3 linked regions of the Neodiprion lecontei genome follow. The protein of the gene in region 2 purifies or fractionates together with the protein of the main gene of each other region. This does not show direct contact. Links are inferred from orthologs where the notes say so. Each region holds a gene or a part of one and is shown on either strand. Other genes may lie near its edges. The genes, in order: protein-L-histidine N-pros-methyltransferase, zinc transporter 1 and xyloside xylosyltransferase 1.

Evidence for each region.
Region 1: the proteins of zinc transporter 1 (region 2) and protein-L-histidine N-pros-methyltransferase purify together in Homo sapiens (co-immunoprecipitation; 3 studies listed by BioGRID and IntAct, with this or other methods). This does not show direct contact. The link is inferred for Neodiprion lecontei from reciprocal best matches to the Homo sapiens genes SLC30A1 and METTL9.
Region 3: the proteins of zinc transporter 1 (region 2) and xyloside xylosyltransferase 1 purify together in Homo sapiens (co-immunoprecipitation; 3 studies listed by BioGRID and IntAct, with this or other methods). This does not show direct contact. The link is inferred for Neodiprion lecontei from reciprocal best matches to the Homo sapiens genes SLC30A1 and XXYLT1.

What each region holds. Positions count from the first base shown.
Region 1 is NC_060262.1:21,742,924-21,750,286, forward strand, and holds the start of protein-L-histidine N-pros-methyltransferase, read left to right. Parts: upstream 1-3,082; 5' UTR 3,083-3,259; coding exon 3,260-3,442; intron 3,443-7,363. UniProt on the Homo sapiens protein: Protein-histidine N-methyltransferase that specifically catalyzes 1-methylhistidine (pros-methylhistidine) methylation of target proteins.
Region 2 is NC_060265.1:6,758,836-6,766,091, reverse strand, and holds the start of zinc transporter 1, read left to right. Parts: upstream 1-3,221; 5' UTR 3,222-3,326; coding exon of another isoform or gene 3,327-3,431; exon of another isoform or gene 3,432-3,594; intron 3,595-3,931; exon of another isoform or gene 3,932-4,212; intron 4,213-4,369; exon of another isoform or gene 4,370-4,382; coding exon of another isoform or gene 4,383-4,403; exon of another isoform or gene 4,404-4,485; intron 4,486-6,380; 5' UTR 6,381-6,395; coding exon 6,396-6,572; intron 6,573-7,256. Other genes in the region: mitochondrial inner membrane protease subunit 1, read right to left, coding at 2,147-2,314, 2,563-2,760, 3,327-3,431. UniProt on the Homo sapiens protein: Zinc ion:proton antiporter that could function at the plasma membrane mediating zinc efflux from cells against its electrochemical gradient protecting them from intracellular zinc accumulation and toxicity.
Region 3 is NC_060263.1:38,560,232-38,567,660, reverse strand, and holds xyloside xylosyltransferase 1, read right to left. Parts: upstream 4,501-7,429; 5' UTR 4,259-4,500; coding exon 3,866-4,258; intron 3,319-3,865; coding exon 2,845-3,318; intron 2,719-2,844; coding exon of another isoform or gene 2,609-2,718; exon of another isoform or gene 2,219-2,608; coding exon 2,012-2,218; 3' UTR 1,866-2,011; downstream 1-1,865. Other genes in the region: tripartite motif-containing protein 2, read left to right, coding at 2,609-2,718, 6,280-6,525, 6,617-6,756, 6,831-7,135, 7,201-7,320, 7,387-7,429. UniProt on the Homo sapiens protein: Alpha-1,3-xylosyltransferase, which elongates the O-linked xylose-glucose disaccharide attached to EGF-like repeats in the extracellular domain of target proteins by catalyzing the addition of the second xylose.

The sequences.
Region 1 (7,363 bases), on a different chromosome or scaffold from region 2:
TCATAAATTAATGAATTATCATTACGGGAACGCGAGACGGCGCCGCGAGGGTGGCCGGAGCTGGTTGCTCCAGGGGGTTGATGCCCGCTCGGAGGATTCGGGGCGGGGAACGACAGCATCGATACAACGACTTCTGAAATATTCATCACTCAAGAATCCCATTAAGCTTCTTCGTTACACTTCGCTCATTTTTATTACATCCTTCGTTGCACCCGGAAATAAACAAACGATAACCCTAAATTGCCGCTACATGGCACGTTTCAGTTATTGCCATCTTTGACCGTTAATTCGAGGGTGCAGGCTTGAAATTAACGAATCTCATTTCTTCCCCATTACATTTTCGCCAAATTCTTCCTCATCGCTTCTCAAACGTAGGAACGCCAAACGTCGGTCACAAAATATGACAAAGTGCACCATTATTCAAGGTGCTTCTAGAGCTTCATCGAAAACCCGTGGTAACCGCAAAAAATCTTACACGGTTGACAAAATAAACACTACGCTCACGTAAATTCTAACAATTTTATTCTTCGCGATGATAGGAGAAAAGAAACAAAATCTCTGACAAGAAGTAACGAGTAGGTAAGATGCCGAGAAAATTCCTGTAGTAAATCGCATGATTCGCTTCTCCGATGAATATAACTAAGACGTGATTTTTTAAAATCTTTTTTGTTTCATCCTCCGAACGCATAATTGGTGCGTGAGAATTTCCCAGTATAATTTCTCACGCGCCTATACCTACCTACGTAATACCAACTGACCGACCGCCGAAAAAGCCTATACCTATGGAGAAATTACGATCGAATTTCTGAGTAATTACGCAGCATTCTTGAGTAATTATGAGAAGTTGTTTTTTAGTCCACGTCTGAAGCCAAGGGGAAGTACTTCGTACACTTCACCTCGGAAGCGTTCCTTCACCTCCTCGTCCCTCCTCACCCTCTCTCCTTTCGCTCTCTCTCCCTCGTCTCTTTCGGAGCGCAATGGAGGGGGCGAATCAAGGTCGTCCGTAAATTAACCCGCACGCGGTAGAATCCAGAATATAATACTCACTTATTTCTCGGAGTCGCCGCAGGTTCTACATAACCCACACGCGTCGTGCGCACGTACCTGGCGGCCTTTACGCCACCCGGTACATTTAACTGCCTCTCGAATGACGTTCGGGCGTATGTCTACGCTCGTTGCATGCTCTTATTTTCGAACGACGCCCAAGACGCCGACTGAAACAGTAGACGCCATCCCCTCGCCCATTGTTGGCCAATTTCACGCGGGCCAAGCCGTTAATTACCAAAGCGCAGCTTGTCCCCGTCCCCAAGGCGAGAGGACCCCTCTAGCCAAAACAACATCGCCGAGGCCTAACGCCCTTGTTTCGAACGAACCTCTCTTAGTTTCGCGCCACTTTTCGAATCTCCACTGAGAAAACAATTTATTTTGTTTCACCAAACGTATATTTGGATATGGCGAAATAAACGTTTAGTTATTATCATCAAATTTTAGTCGAGCCAAGTATGATTTTTAAACCATTAACAAGTTTCTATCGATCATTATTTGGCTCGACTGAAATTTGATAATAATAACGAAACATTTGTTTCCTCGTATCCAAGCATACGTTTTTCAACAGTGAATAATAAACTTTTTTCTCAGTGTCCTTGATTGACGAAACGGCTCATTTTGTCCGTTAATTCACTGACAAGAGAAATATCGAGTGAAAACAAACTGTATTCTACATAGAAAGTTTTGTGAGATCCAACGTGGTTTGATTATCCTCAATCCTAGCTATTATCGGTAATGCGAGGAGGAAAATTGGGGGTTAAAAAGTACAGACGATGAATTGAAAAAAATTTAATGGCCTCGCATCGCACGCGAGTCGGGAAAAAAGAACGAGTAAAAATGGAAAAATTTTTCCGGCTACCGTGAACTGCAATAAGGAAAGCATAAAACTTTCTCCCTCGTCCGCGGCACGCTCCCTCGGGATTTCGGTTAAAGGGGAGGCGACGCGTTGCACGGGAGCAGACGTCGTACCTTGGCTGATGACCTCGTTGAAAAATATTAATGGACCGCTTGAAAACACCTCAAGAAAAATTATGATGGAATTCAATATATGTACTGCGTAGTTAGAGGTATGCCTACTTTGAGAAACGCAAGACTGTTCCTCGACTTTTTAATAGTGATGCAAAATTATTTGATGATCTTAAGGTATCGATTATTGTGGCGTTAGATTAATCGATTATTATTCGAGTTTTCAGAAATTCGATTATTATCGAATCGATTCTTTTTCTATACGAATCGATTAGTTATGACGATGGGAGTCATTTAAGAACAATTTCCTGTAAAAATGTAATGTTATTTTCTCGTAATTCATGAAACAAAGTCATTTGCTATCATCATTTTCTGATTACGTGGAAAAAGTAGTAGAATACTTCAAAATAACGTTTATTTGTTGCCAACAATGGTACACTGAATAATAGTATTAACGCTGTCAATAAATAGCTCGTTTGTTTCAGTTAAATGTTTTGTCGATTATGAGGAACCGATGCTATTTCCATCCAATATATCGATTCGCAAAATCGGAGATATAAATATAATTGATCGATTTTCAGATCGGTTCTTTAATTTTCTCGCACCACTGCCTCTTGAGTCAGTGTTCAATTACAATTATTACATACAATTTCGATACAAGAAAAACTTGCGGCGAAAATATTCTTGTTTTACCCATTTTAACACCACTAATCTTAGCGTATCTCATAACATTTCCCAGCTCGTATCTGTAAGTACGACCAAGTATCTAATTGGGCCCTTAAGGTTTACCTTACAATTAATGTCGCAATGAAATTTCGGGACAAGTATAAAAAACGCGACTTTCTCCTTGTAAACGGCTTCTCAAAACCTCAAACAACGACACGATAGCTCGATCCGTCTTCACAAAGGTGCAAAAACGGGAATACAAAGCGAGTAACATCGTGTCGGTGCCGCGCGTGATTCAAACTCGGGAATCCTACAGCGGTCGGTAATGCACCGGACCCCTGGATTACCGACGGAGCATAAATCGCCGCGGCGCTGTGGGTGCAGGCTACAGCGTGAGATGGCGGTTAATCTGTCAACATGGCCACGTGCCGACGAGGAGAACGGTCTTCCGTAGAGTGATAGAACGCGGATCCGGCCCGTGTCCTTCGGTATTTAGATAAATCCGGATAAGCCAAGTCGCGGCCAGGATGGCCAGGTGCAGAGGGCGCGTGGACAGTGTCAGTACGGAGCCACCCCGCGAATGGGACACATTTACGCGATTCTACTAGCCTTGGCAGCCGCCCAAGGACCCACAGCCGCGTTGTCATCGGACCGAGGAAGCGGCGCAGTCATGAAGAGTTACCGACCCCGGGGCGGAATCGCGCGGATGATATACGACAAGCAGAAGGCGGACGAGCGACTTCGCGTCTACGACAAAACCCAGGTGAGGAGTCAAAACCGAGCGAACCGAGTAACCTCGGAATTTTAAGATGCCCCGTTCTTACGGAGGAACGATCGCAAAGCTTCGGAAATTCCCGTCCGTCTGCGCGTGCGCGCGCAGCCCCGCGCTTTCCTCGTAGAACCGAGTGGTTCGACTAGGTGTGAGATAGGGTCGATCGAATGTGTGCGTGAGCGTGCGTGTGTGTTCGTTCACAGCGTCCTGCGTCAACTGTCACAGGGCCGCAGGCGCGCTCCTGTAATCCAAATGTTTGAATTTCGAACACAATGAGTTGAATTATTCGCGCTCGATTTGTCGGGTGTTTCTCGGGGAAAGGATAATTTCGGCGGCTCGATTTCCGAATTCGACCGCGTGCGAACGAGACGTCGAATTCGCTGTGGCCGTGGGGAACGAGAGATGTTTGAGAGAAAAAAACGATAAAATAGAAGGAGAACAAAAAAGGAGTAAGAATAATAACAATGTCCGAAAGAGTCGAGGGCGCGCGTGCAGCGGTTGTTGGAGGAAAAGATTCGATTTTAAAAGAGGCGAGGATTTGCGAACGGCGAGGAGCCGGCGGGAAGGTGGAAGTTGGAAGGTGGAAGGTGGAATGGGGGGGCGGGGGGGGGAGGGAAGGAGGCACGCCGGTAATAATTAGTACAATTATCGTACAAGGCCAACCACCGGTTCCCCGACGCGGCGCGTCCTACGCCCTGCGTGAGGTTACGGATGTATGTATCCGCGGAGAAAGAGCAGGAGAGAAATAGCGAGAATGAGAATGAGAATAAGAATAAGAGGCGGCCGGGCTTACCTGCCTGTCTTGTGTGCCCTCCAGAGGCTCCGGAGCGGTAATTATGCGTAATTACGTCGTCGATATTCCTGAAACATCTCTCGCCGCTGCTTGCGCTGCGGGCCTCTCGGACTCCCAGCCTATTTATAATTACCCGCTGCAAGGCTTGGAGTAAAGACTTTCCAATTTGCACCGAGCCAAAGCTCTTGCACGTGTGGTGCGCTCCTCTATACGTAGAACGCGCGTTACCGACGCACCGAGGAAAGCCATTCTTCGATGAGGGAAATAAAGAGGGAAAAATCGAAATAGGAGAAAATTAGCGGGAGTCGGGGAATCGCGCGGCGGCCTCGATTGCAAACTGCAAAGTCTAACTAACCGTGACGGCTCCTTTGCTCGCGCGCCGTGTGTGCCTTGCCTTTCCTTGCCTTTCCTCGCCTTGCCTTATACAACCTTCCCGTATATAACGAAGCAGTTCACGCGAAAATACATCCCCCGCTGCACCGCCGGGCTACGGGTCGGTAGCAGCACATCACATCGCATCACATCAGATCGAGAAGAGAGCTTGCGCCTGCAAAGAATATCAAGTTTCTGATCGAGCCCCGGGCGAGGGATTCAGCGTCTCTGTGTCTCTGATGTAGACACTTGAGCTGTACCCGTTACCCGGGCTCGAATTGGGTCTCTGGGTGTATTTATCATTTCATTGGAACTCACGATCAGCGACATCCGGTCGCAGGAAATTTAAATGTCAGGATACCCGAATTCAATTTTATAAAAATACGTTTTTTTTTATCATGTTCTTCAACCGATGTGCGTAGCTTGCGCGGACTTTTCTGCTCCTATCGATACTCGCAAAATCCGGTTAAAAACACTGGACTATTTCGCAGATTTCTTACACTACAACGGCATTTGCATGGGGATATGCATCCATCTGCTTAAACGGTTCTTCATCGACGGAGTAAAAGAAAGAACAATTTTTAACTGGCTCTAATCGCGATATAAATTGACGATGCGGGGAATATTCTTCATCCCAAACTCCGATCGTGATAATTAGATATCTATATATATATATATATATGTATATATTCGATGTTTTATATTTACTTGGGATCCGGAGCTAACGACGATATAACACGCACTTTGCACCGTTTCGGGATTAGGCTAAACCCTTACTCGAGACCGTTACGGGTTAGACGTTCGATAAGCGGTAATTAATGATCATGCAGTAAAGCTGTCTGCTTGCTCGTTTCTCGATATATCCCGGTACAGAACGCTCCGACTTCTACGGGCCCCGATATTCACTCGTGTGTGTAAGTTTGTATTCTACGTACGTAAAAGCCCGTTGACACAATCTTGTATCACATTACGTGCTATCGGATACGAAGCATAATCGTAGTAGTATAATTTATTTTTGCCAATCGTATCAAAGAATTATCCGTCAATGTTTGCGGCTGGAAATGAAATCTTGCAGCTTTGCAAACTTTTTGACGCGTGCGTGTGGTGACAAGTTTATTTAAAAAAAAAAAAATTAAAAAAACACAACCACAGGGCCAATGATTTTTAAAATAGCAAAAAATATCCTTGAATTCTTGAGAAAAATACTGTTTATATCCGGTTTTGATTATGTAATTCAGTTTGAAGTTGCAACGATTCAAATATCCCCACCTCAAACCAAAACAAGTACTGTGAGTTGACATTGAACCTATTTGTACATCACGTGGTGTCCACCTTCTTGGATTTACACCTCTCACTGCGAAACTATCGTCAGAGCACCACGTGCAAAATTGCTTTTCCTAATACGTGTCTTTTATTTTCGTTTTCTTCCTATAGAATTTAACTTCGATAACGTGTAAAATAATTGACTAATCCGAAGATTCCGTTTTACATAATCAAATCAGAGATGTATAAAACATCAACTATGTGTGGTATCTTCAACAATATAATTACATGAATCTACGGTTCAACGAACCTGTCGCGATCACGGATACCATCGATTGATCTGCTTAGCTGGTAGTAAAAGATAAGTGAATAATTGTTAACAAAACAATTCAAGAAATTATAACGACAAAACTTCGATGAAAGAAATATAAATTGATACAAGAGACTATTTTAAAATGAATGAAGAAAAAGAGAATATTCAAAAAGGAATAAAGAATAGTTCGAGAAACAATTTTAATGAAAGAAAAACGATATGTATTTCCAATTTTAATCTGTTTCACCTGCTGATCGATAATTTACGTACTTTGTGAGCGAATGATTGAATGGATACACGAATGAATATATAGTACGTTTTTCGGTTATTGCTATAAATTTATATAACAGAAGTAAAAGGAATATTTACAATTTTCGTAATCTATTACATAAAATTTGTTCATAATTTATATTCAACATCTAAACCTATATTTACAAAATTCTTTGCCTACGATCATACACGTAATTTTCCAAGTCAATTTGATCGAGGAACGCATATTGCTGGGTAACCGAACCGTCTTTTTGGAATAAAAAAAAAAATTCCTAAACCTTGTCACGAATCAATTTTCGCCGCACACCGTAACCCGGATAAAAATCAGCATCGGCGAATCGAGGATGACGATTTTTCAGGAAATTCGGTTGGCTCGAGATGTGCTATATACTCGTATATATATCGGCGGGGCCCCGAGGAGCCTCGCCCGGATGCCCCAGTCTCGGGCTCGTCGCCTCGGTTCCCCCTGGAGCGCCATCCATCACTCACTTAATATTTCAGTGCGCCTCTGCCCCTTTTTAAAACCTTAAAACACCATGGTGTAGCGTTGCCGCGCACATGCACGCGTTCATCTTACACCCCCGCGTGTTTATGTGTAGGTACATGTATAACAACACACTTGTCCAACCTGAGAGCAAAGTTCTCTGATGCCGGACTATGCTTAAGGATATTAGGGGCTGACGGTTTATCGATTTCTGGGGAAAATTCTCCGCTTACTTAGCCGCGGCTAGAACCCACCCCTACATCCTTGCACCCTTCTTTCCTGTTTTTTGGACTTGGTGAAGAATGAAACAACGACGCTCTCGTACTTTTTTTTATACATACGAAGAATAGTTTGTGCGTGCGACACTGCGCGAGTCGTGATTCCGTGATTACCGGCTGAATTTGCGATTTTTTGATT
Region 2 (7,256 bases):
TAATGTTCGGTTAGGTTTTCAATGGCGTTAACTAAAGCAACATTTTGCGTATTCCATAGCATGAAATTCACTCATTTAGCAAACAAATTTGAAGTGCAAGTTTTGCCGATACACGAAGTAACACCGAATCTAAACTACACTTCCTTGTGCGTCTCACTTCCTTCACGCACCCAAATGATTAAAATGGTCAAATTTTCACCAGGGTTATAAGAAGCGCTCTTCGTTTGTGCGGTGCCTCGTTTTATCCTTGACACATGTCCTTGACATTGAATGAATTTACTGTATGAAGAAATATAGCTCAGCCCAAAGCTACTTTAGAGCCATCGACGTTAACAAAAAATATACAAGAATATTAAAAATGCATTTAATATTAGTACACGTTTCGGAAATTGTGATGCGCCCAAGTAAAGATAATTCGCCGCCTCTTTCATGGGTAAACCTTTTGCCGTGACTGAGTTATTCCTTAAAGCCATTCAGTAGCCAATCAAATTGTTAGACCAAAATTCTCGAAAGCCCATTCGTTGTCGTTTGATGCGTGACCAAAAGACGTTGGCCACTTTTCCAACCGAGGATAAAGTCACAAAATATCCTGGTTTCGCTTCAGATTATCAGATAAAGTGAATAAACAGTAGAGTATTTCCACACTGTAGGTAGATCGTTGTTTTATTTGTTACGTTCTTTGGTCGGAGTTTGAAATAAATTGGAATCCGACTCCGAGACGTATTCTCGGTGTCGTCTTTTTATAATTCCGCAACACGCTGCGACCTTCATTTTAATGGATCCTCAACACTGATTTACATGCACCCATGTCTTAACATTACATTTTTTGAAAGTAATTATCCACACTGTTTACTGTCTTTGCGATAAATGGAATTTGTTTGGCCGCTATATTGAAGAGTGGGTTTTCTCTGAATCTTGACCTACCGCATATATATTTAAGCTGTCATCGTATTTGGCTCTGTTATTTTTAAAGAAAAATGCCGTTTCGAGATAAGCTACATTAATCTGCTTCCTTATCTCGCATTCGATGTGTTAGACTCACTGTTCTACTGACTAATGTATATTTATTTCGTATCATAGTACTGCGTTATTATTTCAAATGTTCACAAATTAATCATCATTGCAATATGCATTGACTGAAGATTATGATCTTCAGTTAACGCAATGTGATATTCTCACATCAATTATTTCAATTGAAATCATTATCTGTAATTTAGAAGTACTCATTAGAAATATGTACAAAAGAAATGGGAGATTTGGATACATTGTAAGTTGACTGAAGATTCTTATTTTCGGAAGTTTCGTACCAGCCGATAATTACTGCGGTACTCTCTCTGTACCGCAGCTTATCGACGTGCAATTACCATATCTACCACTTCAGAGTGCAGTGGTCTGGCACCTCTGGCACCAACATACCATTAGTTATTTCGCAACCGAACTTACATTCGTGTAATGCTATGTAGTATGTATTGTCTTCATTGTTAAGTTTATTTCTTTAACTTCAACCCACACGTAGCTGGCCCCTTCAAGCCCAATCGTCTTGCACTGATGTAGCCACCGGTCAATCAGGAGTCTTTTCCAGAAACTCATTCCGCTATTGAAGATTATTTCAAATCAGACTGCTGTAACGTTGAATCATTTTTAGACACCAGAGAAAAAGGAACTAAATTAAACGCAGAACCAATTGAGACTCCAGATAATTCAGAATACACGAAATTACGAGCAGTGCAGATCATTCTAAATCATAAAACGATCATATTCAGTAACTTCGAATGTTAGTAAAATTAACGTGATTCCGTTGGTGAATCACATAAGTAAATAACACCAGATTGAGACAAGCTGAACCAACTATCAGCTAATTTTTGCTCTAGATACTCCTTATAAGTATTTAAGTCTAACAAAACGGTTATCTGTTTATTTTTCTGTAAGAAAATGTAGAAGATTAGGGAAGGATAGATAACAAAGATTTAAGAAACATATTTTTACTTCTAAATTGCATACATCTTATGCACAATTACTGCTACCGTGGAATATATGCATTATATAATGGCCAGTAATGTTCGGTGCAGAAAAATATGAAATGAATACAAGTAATCTAGGTAACGAATACACTGCACTATTTGCTTGTATTAGTTAGGTACATGTTTCACTTGTGGTGGGCGTAATTCGTCGTGAACACGGTAATATTGCTGGGCGGCCAAACTTTGCACATTGCACGACCTCGTAACAGGGCCTGTGGAACGGGGCCGTACATACGAGAATCCGATGAATTGTTGCTATTATCACCTTCGAGCCAAACATGACCAATAGGTACCTGAAAACAGTAAACAACAAACACGTATAATACGAGCCATGCGTCGTCGACGCTCTTCATTATTCCGATGAGCGCTCGGATTTCTGTTCTCAAAAAATACAAAATTATTCAAAGAGCAGTAACTCCCCAGGTTCGTCATATTTTTTAAAATTTCTTTAATACGTCCAACTTTTTAACATTTTGCCGCTCGCGTGTACATTTTTTAACGTGTTGCGTGAGCATTGGCATGTCAACAACACAGAACTCACGATGTAAGTTGAAAAGCCGTCATGTATTTTGTCTCCTGGGACACCAGTCACCCGTTTGCAAATGTGTTGACATGGGTTCGATGGGCATTTTGCGATAACTATATCTCCTCTGTGTATACGTTGTAGTCGCGGTGATACGTGCTCCGTTAGTAGTACATCGTTACTGTAAATTGTTGGCTCCATGGAAGGCCCTGTACACTGAAATACGAGACAACAATTACTTAGAAAGAAAAACAAATTAGTAAAATGAGAAAATAAAATGTAGGGGAAAAGAAGTGAACCACAATAGGAAGGCAAGATAATTTGCATGTATCATCGAGTTAAAAGTCAAGAAATAGATAATGAGAAAGTTATTATATACATGGTGACTCAGGACTATCACTTCATAGGCTGTCGATATTTATATAAAGAACACATTATTCCCATTTGATGTTTTACCACAGCTTGTTTATGATTCGATTCCAAATTACAAAACATCGAAAAGTCGAAGACAACGACAACTTCTTGTAGTTTAGAATGATACGAATTATCGCGGCAAAAATCTATTTAGACGAAGACTGGTGACATCTGTTTTGCGCGGTCGGCAGAGTAGGACTTGAGCGACGATACTTCATTTAGGACCAATCGTTATTGCGTGCGGTAATTCTAGATATCGGCAGAGGTTCAACGGATAAACTCTAACCTCAAAGTAACATTAGTAGTGTCAGATTATAATGATATAATGGACGCATTTGCAGATAACAGTAGTTATAAAAACAACTTACCACGACAAAATCACCGACGTATTCTAACGCACAGTGAGTTACGCACCCGTATTGTAATAAAGTACCTATCGTGCCCAATATCTTGAATGAAAATTTATTCAACATTATTCGTGAGTATGAGTAACATTATCGTCTTGAATATTTAACAAGTTTAAATATTGGCCTTGGCTTGTTTATACACGTTCAAAAGAAAAAAAATGCAAGATAAAACTTGAGCACAACACTTAAAATCTACATCGGTGGACCAGGCACAGGTCTCGACAGATTGGTAAGTCACGTGGATATCAAAATTTTGAAGTCGACATAAACGAGAAGAAGAAATTACAGCTGGCATCATACGCAGCTTATAAAGGAGATCAGTCTCAAATACAGTTAGCGTCAATAGTTGTTTAATTATATTCGCCCGATGAATAAATTACGCAACGCTATTAGTTTTATTCTTATATCAACAAGGTTCGAGCTTGTGTTGAATTCATCGACAGAACGGTAGAACAGTAAACAGAAAATTTGTGATGTATGCATGCGTGTCATGAGCTTGACGCTGCGAATTTCACGAATACTTTGTGAACACATAAGCGGCACTGAATTTTCTCACCGAGTTTCAGAATTCAGTTGGCTGTGAGTTACCATTGATGTATTGCGGTTTATTTTCTATCCTCGTTGGGTGTCCAACAATGGATTGAATGTAGTGTTTTAAATTGCTCTTCATAGAGTTTAATGTGTTTTTTACTAAAAAAAAGTATTTTGTACTTTAACCAATAAATGAGTCCCGTGAATATATCATGTTTGGATACTACATTTTGTGGGCAAAGTTTTTCAACTCCATCATTTTATACTAGTACCTTATAGTTGAAATAATTTTACAAATTACAAATAATTCTTCAAGGTGAGTGTGCAACAAAATATCTGTCGTTACAACATTATTATTTCATATCGTCAGTTGAAAATGAGTAGTGTTTTCAATTGGATTTCCACTAACGTTTTCCAAACTAATAACATAAAAATAAATCCGGCATGTGCCATTATTTTGCGTCTCATGTAGTGATTCATACGTACCCCTTCACTCCTATGAATCATTCCTTCTTTTCTTTATGATGATTGTCTCCATCTGTGCCTGTAAGTTGTTGATAAAAAAATAATTACCTAGTTTAGATTGCATGCCAACTTTTATACAGCAATTAAAATCAACTTATTTAATTAACTGCGTCAAAAGGCTAAGTTCGATTTTAAATTAGATTCTGTGTATTTCTCAGCTATCTATTAGTATCTAAGATTGCACGAGCATATACTCTGTAAGTAGGTGCTGATTACAGTCTGATAATCGTCTATGTCATGACCTACATTTCTACGTCACCAATTCCACGCGCTCGTTAGTCTTACCCATCACCTCTAATCACTAATTTAATTGTTTGAATATGTGTCATTGTGATAACTGGATGTGTAATCGGACATCACATGTATTTAACAATAGCAGACGTTGACCTTTGTCCATTCTGCTAATCGTCATCTAAAATTGTATGTATAACAATGTTTGATGATTATTTGATCAGGTATATTCTAAATTAAATCGAATTGATATCATCTGTATATGAAAGCATCAAATAATTGAATTAAATATATATCCAATTGCTTCCAAAGTTTTGATCGATCAAGCTTGATTGAAAACCCAATTTGTCACTCATACTGAGTTTTGATAACAAGTTCTTATGTGGTGAATGAATCTTGGTAAGTTAGCTTGATGTTAAATTATGTGCTGACCTATATTTACTTAATTACCATAATCTTACCATAAGAACTTGGTATTGGTGATTAGCTGAACTTTTGATCAAGCTCGATCGATCAAAGCTTCTGGTACAGATTCCTAATGTATATTCGACGGCATATCACAATATCGCTAATTCACTAATCTTCTCAGATCTGTATTACTTCTGAAGATACTGGGTTACAATTCTCAAATGCAGATAATAATTTTGAGGTCAGAAAAAATTGAAGTAGCTCCTACTGTATTAACAAACTTCATCTGTATGTTGATTTTGCTGTAATCCACATCTCAGCAGAGATATTGTACATAATACGGCACAGAAATCTCTGGAAAATATATAACACATGAGATTTGAATATTTGAGCTTGAGAAGCTTAGCATTTTTTATATTTCTTGATCCAGAGTTCGAATCTTTGATCTCTTATTTCCATTCCAACATCACATGACTGTGGTCGGCTGAAATATTTATAGAAGTCCTGGATTATCACTAAAAATAATATAACGAACGGAACAAAGAACCAGCCTTTGATACTTTCCAACATACATGTAATGCACAGGGTCATTTTTTCGTTGCTGATTACGACCCTTCAGTGAGAGAGAGCTGCTTCTGCAGGTCCTAGCTGGAACGGTTGCGTTAGTCATACTTATTTTCAGCAACGAAAAAATGACCCTGTATAACTATGTACAGTCATTATGCTTCTTAGCTTTCACCAGTTGGTAGAAACTCCAGTTTGTATTAAGGTGTTAGTCGGTTATGTGCAATTGTGACAAGTACGTAGGTCTTGATAAAATTTTTAATGAAGATATGAGCTTGATTATTTAGAGCACTGATTAAAACTTACATGGTCTCATTGTGTCAGTACTCAATTGATCATAAATCAAATATGCTGGTAAAGCCCAGCAGTTGATATTTATTTAAATACAAGGATTCCCTATAAGCTGTGTATTCATGTATTCAAATCTAACGAAAGTCACAAGGTTGAGGTTAGTGACCTTGACGCAATGAACACTGAAAGGAAAATCAGAATTTTTCTGCCTCAGAATAACTTTGAAAGCGTAGAATGTGCAAATTCTAAGTGTGTTAATACTTTATCACAGTTTACTAAACTTCAGACAAGACTGAAGTTGAAAAGTAATGTGCTTTTTGAAAAATATATTGTTAAATTAAAGTTACAAACTTCAACCTTGTCCAAAGTTAGCTGCTATTTAAATAAATAGTGTTGAACCATACTTATCCTGAAATTAAGATATCTGAAATTGATAAATAATACTGGTTTCATACTTTTTTCCAGCATTTAATAACAACAATGGGCCGTTATACTGGGAAAAAATGTCGACTGCTAACAATGCTGTGGCTCACTTTTATCTTCTTTTTGGTAGAAATAGGTTTTGGCTATTTCACCAACTCGATGGCTTTAATAGCTGACAGTTTTCACATGCTGTCGGATGGGCTTGCTCTAGTAGTGGCATTCCTCTCGGTGAAGGTAAGAAAACCAGCTACTGATTATTGCTGAAAAATTCATGAAATCTGACTGTTGAACTCAAATTACTCGCTGATGTCGGCACAAATTGAACGTGGCACTTCGCATTTCTGTTCTATTTATACTTAAATATAAATATTCACATGCGACATATGTGCTTGCAAGCTGCTACCGACATTTTTACAATACACAGTCAACTGTTGAGCTGTATAAATTTGTGATAAAACATTTATTTCAAACAATGCTTTGTTATTATAATCAATTGGATACTCCGATCAATTGCTGCATACTTACAGTAAGGTTGCGATCAAGACGCTCCGCATACAATTGATAGCCAATAATAACTATGAGTGCTTTGTTTTATTTTTGGTCTCATTGAAACCAGAGCGATTGACTGGTAGTTAGGGGAACTAAACTTGAATTAAATGAAGTTGATGATAGCAACATGACAGCGATGACTTTTTTTTTAGAATAACTCGTTATTTTAAAATTTTACAATTATTCGAAATTCACTAAACAGTAACATAGGGTGGCCACGCAACTGGAAAACCTGAAAAACCTGGAGATATCAGGGAATTTAAAAGGAGTCATCGAAAACTGGGAATTGTCAGGGAATTTTTCTTCGTTCATGAAAGAAACTGAAAACATTACTTTTATACCATGGCAATTAGAAATCATTTTTTTACG
Region 3 (7,429 bases), on a different chromosome or scaffold from region 2:
AGGTGTACGTAATTTTTCAAAAATCTTCATAGAGTTGGATTATTTTTGAATAATTATTTTCTATAAATTTAGTATGGCGTTAATTGCGAAGTCAATCAATCGGACGATGTAAGGTGAAGCGGTACATGGAAAGGAATGAATATGGTCATTTAATACAACGCAAAAACTAATCTATTATAGCTATACTAAACTCGAAATATATGGATTACTAGTCATTTCTTTCCATCTGCATATATAACGTGTATGTATCATAAAGTAAAGGAATTCATGTGTGTATATAATATACATATACAGGTACGTAGTATATATAAAATATATATATATATATATATATATATATATATTGAATTAATATTGAATTAACGCGTGGTGAATTTATTTCCACTTTAGGTGCTACTTTACGGTGTGTATTTAGTCATGTTCTGTATAGGATACTTTGGAGCGATATTATTCGAAAAATAATGCTCGCAAGACGACTGAGAAGACGTAAGTAAAAGCGTAAAACTTTGTACCCAGACAGAATTTACTTATACTAGAAAAACGAGGAGGGAAAAAGCATTGAAAAAAAAGTGTGTTAAAAAAAAGTACGAGTTATTATTTTCAGTTATTATTTTATGGTCATTAACATTCGCCGTTATATACATTATATTTAACGAAAGGACAATCATGCACATGAAGTGTCTATTATTATTATATACACATGATATACATATAGTTTGTTTTTTAGTTCTACCAAAGCGTCATTTTGTTACATTTGACAATAATTCTATAAAATTGATGGTGAATGTATAATATATTAATTTAAGGATTACCACACGATGCGTACGTACATAATGCGTGATATAATCAATTTAATTATTTAACTAACACTTATACTAAACATTGCATATATTTATCCGTAGTTAGTTAGTTAGAACCGATGATCCAGTTATATTTAAACATTAACAGAAAACAGTTGCATATACTTACTTCGATTGTAATTTTGCAATCCAAAAAATTGCTTTGTAAAACACGGCAGTAAACGCAAAACATTGATTTATTATGTTCGAATCCAGCAGACTTTTCGATATGAAATTATGATTATATGTTACGCAACTATCGTTTGTTCGATGCTTCGATTCTAATGAGATTCATTGTGTAAATTTAAGAAGTTATCATGAAACACATAAATAGTCTTTATATGTAATAATTACATATGAATACGATTGTGTCCACGTTTATTATGCCATTGTTTGCTATGTAGTATTAGATTTGACAGGATCAAGGTCAACGTAAGAGGCAGCACCCTTAAAAAGCAAAGATTAAAACATATCTATTATCTTCTGTAAATATATTGTGTTGATGATGATGAAAGAAAACTTATTATTATGTTGATACTGTATTTCATTTCAGCCTGTATACAACTAACAAAGAAAAAAAAAAGAAAACAAAAAAAACAAGAAAAAAGAACTGTATGTAATATCTATTTATGTAAGTTATAAATCTTATAACTGATAGTCATATTAAAGTTAATCAAAAATGATGTATCAAACATTGAATAATTCACGTAAATGTAACCTGATGAAACTTATTTTCCAAAACTTTAAATCGCAAAAACGAAGATATTACCTTCACCAGGCAAGATAGTTGAAAAGAACACCTCAACTAATATAGAAAAGGAAATGAAGCATAGGGAAAAAAGTGTTAAAACAGAGTCGATTGTGTGTGTGTGTATGTATAATATATATATATATATATATATATATATATATATATATATATATATATATATATATATATATATATATATATATATATATATATATATATATATATATATATATATATATATATATATATATATATATATATATATATATATATATATATAATATAAACTATAATTACGTTTTACTTTTTTACAAAATATCTCTAGTGCGTCCATACATTTTTAATAACAAACTTTTATCTCATTTGCCATAATACTTAAATAGTTATTGAATTTTATTTAAAATTGCTTGACTCATTGCAGTTAATCATCAGGAATTGCCGTGTTGCAATTACCGTGCCAAAGTTTGACTCTTGCATCACAGTGAGAATAGTTGGCAAACACATCGGAGTATCCATGCTCTCCCCACCACGTGCACAGCTGCCTGTTCCAACCACAGTCCACCTTGTGGATCAATTCAGGCCGCTCCATACCCAGAATAGTATAGAAATCCTGATCCCCCAAATGACCCTGCAAAATGAAATTAGGAGACAAGCTTGCAATGTAACGTAAACAAAATTTACCACAACACCACCACCTGAAGGATTAGGAACAGTCGGAATTTGGATGTATTTACAAATTTTATTATTTGTATAGAAAAAATGGCCCACTATCAGTGTAGATACGAAGATATAAAGCAGATGAAAGTTATATTCACAGATGTGTGCCTCGACTGTGAATGACTATTCAAGTTGCTTGCGATTAGATAATTCAAGTTTGTCAACGTTTTTCAAAACTGGATTATTGAATAACGTGCAAAGTGATTAACGTAGAATCAAATAGAAATAGAAAGTTGTAAACATTTGTTACTTTTGTTGCACATGTCTGTGGAGTTCAAGGTGCTTGAAGAATTTATTCAACATGTCGACAAATATTTGCTTCAGAGAATCCGACGAAATGTTTCCCTACTGTGTGGCAATGTTTTTTCCCAAAGATGAGCCAATATGGAAAAAAATTAAACACCCCAGCAGGTGAGCGATATAAAATAGGTACTAAAATTTATTCTCTTTCCACGCTTTTCTCACAATGCCAAGTGATATAAAAACATTTCGAAAATACCTTGACGTAATTGTGAAAACAGTCAGGATTGTACAAACCTTGAAGTAATATTTCTGGGTCATATGGTCGACGCTGTCCATGCTGAGTATGTTATCGTACTCCAGAGATTCTCGCAACTTTTCGAAATTGAAAAGTACCATACCGCTATTAAACCCTGGAAAACCGCCTAGGTAAGCAGGTTCTCCGAACAAGGTGCCAGGGTTTTTGCTTCTGTATAAATAAAGAACGTGCCGATAGACGGGAGTCAGTTCAGGTGCTAGGCCGAACAAGGCTTCAGGTCCAAATTTACTAAACTCCTCGAATAGCTCTTTGATGTCTGTTCGAAATTTTGTATCCGCATCAAACATGGCGGCCTTCTTTTGATTCTCTGGCGCTATCCTGTGCAGTCCAAGAGAAAGAAAGAAGAGCGCGTCAGAGTAGTAGGTTCCTGGGTTACTGCTGAAGTACGGCGACATTGTCGACACAATATCCTCCAGTTGTTTAGCCAGCACATGCACGTCGTAGTACGTTACCTGAAAATATTACACAAATTAAAACTGGGTAATCAAGGTTCACTCAAATTTATAGAACTTTCGAGGGGTGTAAGTGCGCCTAGAAATTTCATATCTCTTTAAGTTACACTCTTGAATTTCTGCCTGAAATACAAATTCAAAGATGAAAAGATCCCGTAAGTGGAGGATGTGTGTAATGAATATAAGAATGAATGACAGCAACAGTCTGAATCGAAAGCTAGGGAATAGATTTTTTTACAGCAATTTCTGGCGGTCTTCTTGGTGAACAAAATAAGCCACAAAATATTAGAATCGGATCAAAAGCACCAAAGTTTATTCACTTGGAATGTTAAAATAGTAAAACCTTTTCTCAAATTCTTGATATCTTAGCTGATTTTATTTGAATTTGATGAAAATAATTTCTATCGCGTAGTGAGAATTTTCCCTTCGTTCGTGATCACTAGTAACGACGCAGGTGAAATCGCTGGAGATTTTTGCAAACGGTTCTTTCTATTTTCTTGAATTTTGATGCGGACTGTCGATCCTATTCATCCTTAAAAGTACATACTTTCATAGATTTTCCAGACGTGGCGATGACTCCCCGAATAAGGGGTTCAGCGATTTCGCGACTAGCTGGATCGCTGATGACGTGAAAAGCGAGGTTGACGGAGGTCAGTTTGAGCATAGAGGCGGTAAATATTTTGAATTTCCTCCTCAGGGGAGAGTTTGACGTAACCTTTGTGAATATGCACCACACATTATAGTACTCGTCATTTATTTCCTTCCGAGATGCGAGGGCTACGGCGGACGAAACGTTCGGTGTTTTTGCAAGTTCATTTCTGGGTTCTGTATTGCGATAAAATGTCGCTGGGGCGGAACTCGGCGTTTGGAAGCAATAAAAGACTATCAGGAATACGGCGAGAACTGTCAGATTCACTAGCACTTTGTGTAGCAAACCCATTTAACCACCAAATCCAAGCTTGGCATTAATTGTACGTGTTTATTACACGCAGATCACACGCGAATTTCACCCCGCGAGGATGCATTTATGAACGTCCTTATTTCCACTACCATCGCGCGGTAATTAGCCACGGATAATCGCAGACTTTATTCCAACTGCATACGTTAATAGGCTCCTCTCCTCATCGCTTACATTCTATTATTTTCAATCCGCTGACCGAAAAACAAACATGGCGACACGTCAAACCGTTCGAGCGTCGAGTCTGGTTTAAGATCAATTCTATCGCTTTTCGATTTATCTCGAACTTCGAGAGAGTTTGAAAGAATTTCGAATTCCTTCCCGTTCCTAGCGATATTGAATGTGTGTTATTTGGCACACTTTGAGAACGAAAGAACCGATAGACTCGTCTGATTGATCAATATTACAAGAATCAGCCAATCAGTAGCTTTGTTCTAACATTTTCGAAGATTAGGAAGCAAAACGCACCCTTTATCACAGAAGGATCTATAATTTTTGTTGGTATTTTGTTCCGCGTAAAGAAGAAAGTGTATTTACAATATTATAAGGTAATTCAAAAAAACCAAATTGATTTTTTAACAGAGAAATTCGAAACTTTTTTGCTACTTTTTCATAAAATGTTTGCTCAGATCATTTATTAGGATCAATATTATTAGTTTGTCAAAGCAGCTTGTTCCTTAATAATATTGAATTCACAAATAACTCGAATGGCTCTAACACTGCACGCGCTGTAATCAAGAGATATCGACTACCAAAATACCTGAAATCTTACACGCAAGTTAATAATTAATTAAATTTCAGACGCGGGAAGTCTCGAGATTTCTTTAATTCAAAATTTGCTGTGAAGCTTCGACTGTCCACGATAATTCGATTGCTTGATCACGAAGCCAGTTTCATATAAAAATCTCAAACACAAATATACTTTGTATTTTTAAATCTACCGACTGACGCAAGAAATCTGTACTGAATTAAACTGCAGCATTTGATTCTGTTTGATAAACGAAAGTCGCATATTCCGATATAACCGCGTTGACACGCGCGTTCGCTATATATGGTGTGTGCATGCACTTGTAAACCCGTTTGGTAATTACACGAAAAAGCATTTTCAAGTATAAAGTGTTGCTGACACTCAAAGTATGGTGATACGATCGATTATTGGATCTGATAACCTGTCTTGTACACAGACAGCAACTTTTTCTTAAGTTATCTTCTGATTAGTGGATATAAGTGTACTTGATAACGTTGTTATCGTGGTGAAAATATCGTTTCCTTTGACGTTACAATCAGTCCCGTTATTTCGACGGTCTTTCATCACATCTAGCTTATCGAGATATCAGCAGTATCCTCCGCGTCGAAAGAACTTTTGGATCAGTACAGTAATACATTCACCTTATTGCTGTACATTAAAATCGACTGTAAAAGACGCCCCGTGGCCGACAGCGGCCAATAATCCCGGGTAAGATTAATTTAAACTTTACGATTCCATTCCGATTTGAGATTCCTGCATTGTCGCCAATGGAAGAGAAAATATTGGCTTTTTTATACTTTCTGAGTTGGGATTGTATATCTTCAAAAACCATAAATGGATCGTGATGTCAGTATCGTAATTTTTGGAGTGCAGGTAGCGCGATTTGAGAGATTACAAAAATACTCTAAAAAAAAACGTACCTTATCATATTTTATTTTTCTAGTCTTCCATAATACGGTTTGACCTAGTACTTAGTCAGGAATTCAGTACGATTTACAATCAATTATATTCAAAGTACGTACGGATAACACCCAGCTAAATTTTTTCACACATTTTATCGCATGTCACAGAGTATACAAATGCATCATACTAAATTATGTTTATTGTGCCTCTCATTTCGTCGCGTTGACGTGAAAAAATGCTTCTTCGATAATAACTTGATACCGAATCAATTCATAATTGATAAGATTGAGGTGGTGCTGACTACTGGCTAGTACTGTTGTTTTTGATCTGATATAGAGATTGGCGTTTCCAGAATGACTTCGAAGTGGAAGTCGGTATTCAAGAGGCCACTTTCTCACGATTCGACAAATCCTCGACCGGTCGAAAACCACGAAGAGTCCAGCGCTATAATGCAGGAAATGACGGAACTCCCAGCGGACTTCATCCTGGGTCCCGATCCCAAGGCATCCAAGTCCCGGCCAGTTTTCAACTCCAGTCAATCCGCCATTGAACAACCGACGGTGGAACTCAGGAACAACGATTCAAGGAAATCTCACGGGTTCGGACACTCACAGCTTATAAAGTTAACGAAAAACGCGCAATGATCTCTACGTACTTTGCACCTCTCTTATGCTCCTAAACCATTCCAGAACTTCCCTTGGGGCGATCGAGGACCTACTACAGTGTCCCATTTGCCTCGCACGACTTCGTACACCACGCATGATGCCGTGCCAGCACACCTTCTGCCTCGAATGCTTGGAGGAGCAGCTTAACTACTCGGGAAACGATGGTGGGCGGCACTATTGCGACAGACTCTTTAATCGGCGTAAACTTTGTGATTGAGTATGATGGTATTCCCTGCAGGAAGAACGATCAAGTGCCCGCTTTGCAAGTTGACGGTGGTCGAATCGGTGCCTCGTGACCTTCCAACGAACCTGTACATCGAGAATCTTCTGCGAGTGATGGGAAACGTTGGTGGCGAGAGTCTGGAACACTTGGTCTTCTCGAGTCCTGTTGTGACCTTTGCGCCCTGCGTAGATCAGCCGTCTTCCCTCGTCCAGGGACCGTCTTCACTGATGTCTATGCCGGAGCCTGTGGTCCAGGAAATCCGGTGCGTTAAATGCGAGACAGCGTGCACGAGAGAAAATAGATGCAAACACTGCAAACAGGTGAGTGATCGCAGGGCTCCGTTCTCCTGAAAGCGCAACTAGCTTAACGTCGATCCTTTTTCCAGATATTTTGCAGCGTTTGCTGGGTCGCCCATATGGACGACCTCAAAGAGCAACTCGGCAACATCACAGAGCAGCTCAGTAACACGACGGATCGCTTTCAACACAGGATTCAAGATTACAAGGTGAGTGAACGAACGGTGATGCGGTAATTGGGCTGCTTGAAATAATCGATTTAACCATTTTTACAGACAAGGGTTGATCAGCTGATGGAATACATTGATCGTGACATCG